Linked DNA regions of Ovis aries. The protein of the gene in region 1 purifies or fractionates together with the protein of each later gene. This does not show direct contact. Links are inferred from orthologs where the notes say so. Each region holds a gene or a part of one and is shown on either strand. Other genes may lie near its edges. The genes, in order: TAP1 and TAPBP.

What was found.
Region 2: the proteins of TAP1 (region 1) and TAPBP purify together in Homo sapiens (co-immunoprecipitation; 6 studies listed by BioGRID and IntAct, with this or other methods). This does not show direct contact. The link is inferred for Ovis aries from reciprocal best matches to the Homo sapiens genes TAP1 and TAPBP.

What each region holds. Positions count from the first base shown.
Region 1 is NC_056073.1:7,335,380-7,339,251, reverse strand, and holds the start of TAP1 (antigen peptide transporter 1), read left to right. Parts: upstream 1-1,052; 5' UTR 1,053-1,097; coding exon 1,098-1,695; intron 1,696-2,246; coding exon 2,247-2,361; intron 2,362-2,499; coding exon 2,500-2,630; intron 2,631-3,587; coding exon 3,588-3,793; intron 3,794-3,872. Other genes in the region: PSMB9 (proteasome subunit beta type-9), read right to left, coding at 445-504. UniProt on the Homo sapiens protein: ABC transporter associated with antigen processing. In complex with TAP2 mediates unidirectional translocation of peptide antigens from cytosol to endoplasmic reticulum (ER) for loading onto MHC class I (MHCI) molecules.
Region 2 is NC_056073.1:7,633,967-7,637,867, reverse strand, and holds the start of TAPBP (tapasin precursor), read left to right. Parts: upstream 1-1,496; 5' UTR 1,497-1,535; coding exon 1,536-1,572; intron 1,573-1,697; coding exon 1,698-1,868; intron 1,869-2,102; coding exon 2,103-2,363; intron 2,364-3,901. Other genes in the region: ZBTB22 (zinc finger and BTB domain-containing protein 22), read left to right, coding at 1-532. UniProt on the Homo sapiens protein: Involved in the association of MHC class I with transporter associated with antigen processing (TAP) and in the assembly of MHC class I with peptide (peptide loading).

The DNA.
Region 1 (3,872 bases):
AGCAGTGCCGGGGCCGTAAGTTCCCCGGCGCGAGTCCATCAAAGGTCTGTGGGGGCACGTTCCTCCCCGCACGCTCCCAAGTGCCGTCCTGTTCACTCGGGGCACCGCGTCCTCATCTCTGCGCACCTTCCCCAGCTCTCCCCCTTCATTGAAGCAGCCCCTGTCTCTAGTCCAGAGTGAAAGCGAAAGCGCTCTAAAGCAGCTTCCCCTCAACGCTTCCAGCTCGGAGCCCAAGCACCCCTTCCCCGCCGGCCCCCCGCGCCCAGTCCCTCGGCGGCCCCCCGAGCACCCCGCTTCTGTAGAGACGCCCGTGTTCCTTTTGGGATGCGCGCCCCGGCTGCTGCAAGCGGTCTCCTCCCTCTTGCGAGTCTCCGAGTTAACCCTGTGGCGCTTCCAGGGTCCGCCCGTCCCTCCGTCCCGCCACCGATGTTCCAGACTCATTACCCCGGTGTGGACTTCTCCTGCCCGGGGCAAGTCCCCGGTGGGGGCTCCGGTCCGCAGCATCCCGGCTCCGCGAGGCTCGCCGCTCCGGGCTCTGGTTTCCGACCTGGGACCGCGCGCCGCCCGCTGCCCGAGGCCCCGCCCCCGCGCCGCGCCCGCCAGGGGGCGCACGAGTCCGTGCCGCCGCGCGGGGCGGCCCGGCGCTAACTTGTGCGGGGCGGGTCTACCCGGAGACAGATGACGCAAGAGACCGGGGCCAGCGGATCTGCCCGGAGACGGATGACGCACGAGCCCCGCCTGCAGACCCGGGGCCAGAAAGTCCCGGGCAGCGCGGCTCCTGCAGGAGGCGGTGGCACGCGAGGCGGGGCTCGGGTGGCGATGGAGGAGGTCAGCCTCGGATCCGAGGTCCCTGCGCTCCTCCCAGGTGCCCTGGGCCGGCCGCCTCCGCAGGGGCCGGGCCTGGGAAGCCGGGCCGCTTTCGTTTTCTCTTTCCCCTAAACCGCCCGCTTCTGGGCAGCGCCGCGGGCTCGGCGGGCTCCCGGGACTTTCCGAGGCCCCGCCCCGGCCCCTCCCCGCGGCGGTCCGGGTTCCGGCCCGGGGCTCGGGCTCCCACAGCAGCCCGTCGCGGACAGCGAGAGCCGGGACCGCGCGCGCCCATGGCCTGCCCGGGGTCCCCAGCTCCCTGCGGCCGTCCGCGCCTCCCCCGCCTCGCCGTCGCGTGGCTGGGGACGGCGCTGCTGCTCCTCGCCGACTGGACGCTGCTCCGGCCGGCGCTGCCCCGAGTGGCCTCGCGGCTGGTGCCCCCTGCGCTGCCGCTGCTGCGGGTCTGGGTGGCGGGCTTGAGCCGCTGGGCGCTGCTGTGGCTGGGGGCCCGCGGCGTCGTCGGGGCCGCGCTGGGCTTCCGGAGGGAAGGCACGCGAGTCCTCGGGTGGCTGGCTGTTTTGGAGCCGCTGGCGGCGGCGCTGGGCTTGGCCCTGCCGGGACTCGCCTTGATCCGAGAGCTGGTCTCCTGGCGAGCCCCCGAGGACGCGGACAGCGCCGGGCCCCTGCACTGGGGAAGTCGCCTGGACGCCTTCGCTCTCAGCTACTGCGCGGCACTGCCCGCGGCCACCCTGTGGTATAAGATCAGGAGCCTCTGCGTGCAAGGAGCTCGCGGGGCTTTTGGCCTGGCGATGAGCCGGCTTTTAGTCTTCCTGGGTCCGGAGAAAAGCCACGTGCAGTTCATTTTGGCCCTGGTGTTTCTCTCCTGTCTTGGTAGGTAAGGTGGGGGCGGCGGGGGGCGTGCAACGGGAAGGGGGACGGGACTGGAGAACTGGGTAGGAATCGAGGGGCCTGATCAATGAGAGCAATTGGTGTGGGTTCTCGGAAACGTGGGTGAGGGGAAGGGGACCCAGCTCAGGTCTTGATCACCCCAGTGGAGTGGGAAGGTCCTGACTGGGCAATTGTCAGGGGTCCTGGACTCCAGGGCTGCCCTGCGTGTTGTTGCTTCACTGGCCGCCGTGGACAAGGGCTTTTCCCGGGCAGCCCATCCTACAACCGCTAGGCTTCCTCATTAAACCTCTAAAGGTCTTTGGGCCTCGTGTAGGTGGAGATGGTATCTCTCCACTGCTCTGCAGGAGAATGAATAAAGGCGAAAAGCCGGTGGGCCAGGGCCTGGTGAGAGCTCAGGAGAATGAATAAAGGTGAAAAGCCGGTGGGCCAGGGCCTGGTGAGAGCTCAGGAGAATGAATAAAGGTGAAAAGCCGGTGGGCCAGGGCCTGGTGAGAGCTCACCTGCTCAGACTTGCTATTTCTTCCCCTCCGCAGGGGAGATGGCCATTCCGTTCTACACTGGCCGGCTCACCGACTGGATTGTACAGGATGAGACAGCCGCTGCCTTCACCCGGAACGTAACCCTCATGTCGGTCCTCACCATAGCCAGGTCTGGGCACTGAAGGTGGAAGGCTGGGGGACAGGGGATTCGGAAAAAGTGGGAGTTGGAAGTTGGGGCTGCCGTCCAGGGTGAACTTCTGGGGGACCTCCTGACCACCCCGGGCCCCCTTCTCTTGTCTCCCCGTAGTGCAGTGCTGGAGTTCACAGCTGATGGAATCTACAACAGCACCATGGGCCGCATGCACAGCCACCTGCAGGGAGAGGTGTTTCAGGCTGTCCTGCGCCAGGAGACAGAGTTTTTTCAAAAGAACCAAGCAGGTTTCTCATGAAACTCTTTTCACTATCCATTCACTTACTGTTTATACACCCATAAAGTATTAAATTATTAATCTCTCAGTCATGTTCAACTCTTTGGGACCTCATGGACTGTGGCCCGCCAGGCTCTCTGTCCATGGAATTCTCTAGGCAAGAATACTGGAATGGATTCTCCAGGGGATCTTCCCAACCCAGAGATCGTACCCAGGTCTCCTGCATTGCAGGGAGATTCTTTACCATCCGAGCCACCAGGGAAGCCCATACCTCCTCTTTTACTTATAACCTTGATTTCTAGTCTCTCACACATAAACACTGTCATGTCTTATTCTCAACGTGCCTCAAGAGCAAAACATACTCCTTTTATTTAAGAAAAGCCTAGTGTTTCCATCCAAGCCTCACAGACTTATCCCTCTGTGTGTGTTTAGATAGAAATGACTGGAATTTAAACCTTGAAATTTTGAGATCACAGAGTCTAGCCACCTTGCTTTGCAGAGAAGGGAACTGAGGCCGTCCCCAAATGCTGGCGCTTGCCTAGATGCGGGCGGACAGAGATGAACTCAGAGTCAGAACCCCTCTCTTGATTCCCAGTCCAGCGCTTGCTACAGTTTCCTGGACTGCTGTTTAACAGCAACTTTGTTTCTCTCCAGCTGTTAGATGATCTGCTTGTTTCTCCTGCCCCTGTACCTGGGATATAAAAGTTCTTAGAGAACAGGAATCTGTCAGAGAAAATGAAATCCACAAGGGCATCTTTTTTTTTTTTTTTTTTTAAACTGGAAAGTCTTTAGCTAGTCTTCTCCTCTGGACACTTTCTCCTTGTGTTGAGGTTCCAAGTCTCCCTAACCACTGACCTTGTCTTCTCAGCCTTCTGAGAACCCTTCCCCTGGCACCCTGGCTCACCTGTCCCTCCCATCACTCTGAGATTCTCATTCACACCACCCTCTTCTCCCCAACCCTTCACAGGTGAAATCACATCTCGGGTGACAGATGACACGTCCACCATGAGTGAATCTCTGAGTTCGGATCTCAGCCTGTTGCTGTGGTACCTCATCCGGGGACTGTGTCTCCTGGGGCTCATGCTCTGGGCGTCCCCGTCCCTCACTGTGGTCACCCTGGTCGCCCTGCCCCTGCTCTTTCTTCTGCCTAAGAAGCTGGGGAATCGGCACAAGGTCTGTCTGGGGAGTTGCCTCAACCTGCGCTGACTCCTGTCGCCCAGACGTGGTGGGCTCGCTTCCTGTCAGGGTTCTT
Region 2 (3,901 bases), about 300 kb from region 1:
GGCCCTGGGCGGGCCAGGTGGTACCGGCGGGACCCCTGGAGGGACAGGCAGTGGGGATGGAAATAAGATCTTTTTGTGCCACTGCGGAAAAGCCTTCTCCCACAAGAGCATGCGAGATCGCCATGTGAACATGCACCTCAACCTGCGGCCCTTTGACTGCCCCGTGTGCAACAAAAAGTTCAAGATGAAGCACCACCTGACGGAGCACATGAAGACGCACACGGGTCTCAAGCCCTACGAGTGCAGTGTCTGCGCCAAGAAGTTCATGTGGCGAGACAGCTTCATGCGCCACCGGGGACACTGTGAGCGCCGGCACCACTTAGGCGGCGGGGGCGGGGCTGGACCGGGCCCCGGGGGCGGGCCCAGCGGAGCGGCCTTGCAGCCCAAGAGAGAGTCCCCCGGCGGCGGCGGCGGCGGGGGCAGCGGCGATGAGACGAGTGGGGCCACGCCCCCGTCCAGCCGATGCGTCTGGTCCCCGCTCAGTGTCCACAAGGTGGAAATGGGCTTCAGTGGGGGCGGCGGAGCAAACTGAAGGGGCGGCCCACCGGGGTAGCTTTCCGGGAAGAGAGATTAGGTATCACGAGTCTGGGGCACTGTGGACCCTAGGTGATCTCCCAACTCACTGTCTTCCTGTCTCTATGGACTTGTGTATATATATCCTGGAGGGGGAACCGCGTCGCCCCATGGGCTACCCCATTCCACTCCTCGGCCCCTCCTCCCCAAAGTATCCCTGTAACTCAGCCCTTGCTTCCCTGCAGATGGGTGCACAGAAGCCCCAGCTCCCGAGTAGGGCCCATGTGGGGTGGGGGTGGGGGTGGGGTGAGGGGGCCTGTTGAGCATCCAGGAGTCACTGGGTCAAGGGTCAGGTGGTTGTAGTCTGTACCTGAAGTCTGTGTTTGTGTAGTTGTGGGGACCAGGCCTTAGAGCCCCACCCTTTTCCTAGAATATAGCCTGCCCCGCAAAAGGATGTGCCCTTTATTTCTACCCTAATCTCTCCTCCCCCACTTTGGGGGTCCCCAAACTCAATTCTCACTGGGGAGAGAGGGGGATGGAGACAAGGAGGGACTAAGTTGTAGGAGTACAGGTTTTTATTTTAAATCTTATTTTTTCTAAACAGTGATTAAAATATTTATTGGTCATTTCATTTGGCTTCCCGACAACCCCGATGTGTCTGCTTGGGACCCGGCACAGGTGGGGGAAGGTGGAGTAATGGTTCTCAGGGAAGTGGATTCGGGGTTGTGGGGGACAGGCGGGGGCGCCTCGGGTGTGGGAAGGCTCGCGGACTCTGCGGCGCTGGGTAGTCCGGGAGGGCTGGGCGGGACTGAGGTCCCCAGACCGGAACTCCTCAACTGGGGAGGATGTTTCGGGAACCCTGCCCGGCGCCGGGGAGGGGGCAAGGCGGGGAGAGAACCTGCCTCCCACGAGCTTTCCCCCAGCCTGAGAGGGGATTTCCTCCGCCCCACCTGCTGGCCTTTGGAGGAAAGTGAAAGCGAAAGGAGGAAGAGGCGGTTTCAGAGCTGAGAAATCCGAGCGCCATGAAGCGCGTGTCCCTGCTCCTCGCTGTGGCTTTGGGTGAGCGACCCCCGTGACTCCTTGCACAGGGAACGGTGGGAGGTGAGCCCCGCCACGTCCGGGGATGGGGGAGGTCGGGTCACCTGAGGTTGGGGCCGTGCCTTCACTCGCGTCCCTCTTCCCAGGCTTGGCGACCGCTGTCTCGGCCAGACCCGCGGTGATTGAGTGCTGGTTCGTGGAGGATGCGGGCGGGGGCAAGTTGGCCAAGAAACCCGCTGCCCTGCTGCTGCGCCAGGGCGCGGAGAGCCCACCTCCTCGACCGGACCTCGCCCCGGAGCGCTACCTCAAAGTTCACGGTGAGTCATCCCTGACTCGCTCCCAACTCTGTTGCCTCCCCCGAAACCCCCCCAGCCCTTCGGGTCTCAGTGACCTCGGGCCTCAGTTTCCCCCAGCTGTAAAGTGAAACGCTCCGCCCTCTCAGTCTCTCACGACCGGCTAGTCTGCACCTTTGAAAGTCCCTGGACGCTGCCCTCCCCTCTTCTTTCCTGGCGGAGATTCTACGCCTGCAGCTCCTCTCTCTGCGTTCACAGACCCCGCGGGCACCCTTCAGGCCGCCTTCAGACAGTATCCCCGGGACGCCCCCGCTCCACGCTGCGAAATGAGCCTCTACGTCCCGCTCCCAGCCTCGGCCAAATGGCTCAGCGGCTTGACCCCGGAGCAGAGCTGCCCGCGGGCCCTGGACGGGACTTGGCTCATGGTCAGCATGTCTAGCCCGTTCCTCAGCCTCTCCAGCCTCCTTCGACCACAGTCGGAGCCTCAGCCTGAGCCTGCTCTCATCACCATGGCAACAGGTAGCTATAGAGGGGAATGGGAGATTATTGGGTAGATTGTAAGGGTCCAGATCAGCCGTTAACTCGCTCTGCGGACTTGAGCGAGTCACTTCCCCAGTCGAGTCTCCGTTCCTTTATTTGTAAATCAAGGCAGTTCAGTTAAAATGTCTTTACCGCTTCATCTAGTCCCAACCTAATCTAAAATAAAATGCGGTTTGGGGCGGGGTTTTGGAGAGAGGCGGGGGTTCCGGACACCTGACCTTAAGACTGGAGAAAGAAATGGCAACCCACTCCAGTATTCTTGCCTAGAGAATCCCTTGGACAGAGGAGCCTGGTGGGCTGCCGTCTATGGGGTCGCACAGAGTCGGACACGACTGAAGCGATTTAGCAGCAGCAGCAGACCTTAAGCAACTCGCTAGGCGAGGGGCTTGGGAGGGTCTCAGAAGCAGGAACTTTTGCTCCTTTCCTCCGAGATCTTGCTAGGCGCCCCCACCTTTGCTGTTCACCATGTTAAAAAAAAAAAACAAAAAACGGCCTTCACGCCCCACCCACTCCCACATCCGGCGCTGCAACAATCAGCAAAGCGCAGGCTCTTGTGCTCAATAGCGTTAACCTCACCTGACAGCCTCCTCTTAGGGCTCGTGATGATGCGTTGACTCTGTGGTCATTGAATGGTGGGCTTGAGTGCATGGAAGGGAAGCGGCGGGGGATCTGGTGGTTCTGGCTGCAAGGACGGACCACTTGCCGCATTGTGTAACCCGGTTCAAGGCCCAGGGCTTGGGCACTTTTCGGGTCTTGGGCGCAGGGAGTGGGTGGATAAAGCAAAAGTGGGGAAGATGCGACCTGGATTTGGCTTTCTTGGAGCTCTTCTCTGGAGGGTGATGGGAACAGAGTCCTTGGCAATTCTTAAACATTGTGTGATTTTATGGAAAGGATACAGCCTGACCTGCCAGTCAACCCTTACTGAGCCCTACAACCTGCCTTCCCCAGTACCTTCTCCCTGACATTCTCCTCACTGAGAGAATCACCCATGGGACTCAGCACCCACTCCGCAATCCTCACCTCTGCTTCCATCTCCATTCTTTGTCCCCAGACCTTGCCCAGGGCAGGAACAGAGGCAAACTGCTCCTTGTGGGGATGGCAGTTGTCTCTAGTGGGCAGGAATATTTCCAAGGCTGTTGGTTTCACGGGGTAGGGTAAGAATGTCCCTTTTTCTCTGAATCTGCTTTTCCAACTGTAAAATGTGGATGGTATTTCCCATCTGCCTTCCCGTTGTTGTGACAATCAAGGGAGACACTTTGTTAATTTATTCACTGGTTTAATAAATGTTTATTATCACCAAGAATAAATTGGGGCCCTGTAGTTCTCAGTTCGGTCTGCAAATAAGAATCCTTAAAAATTTCACTGCAGGTGAATTAAATCAGAATCTCTGGGGTGCCCTTGAACACTTTTAAGGGTCACAGAGGTGACCAGATGTAGAGTCTCCTCTCAGAAACGTTCTCATTAGATTTGTCATGGGATAATTGTAGAGTAGAAAGTGACTTGAGCCCTAAAAGAAG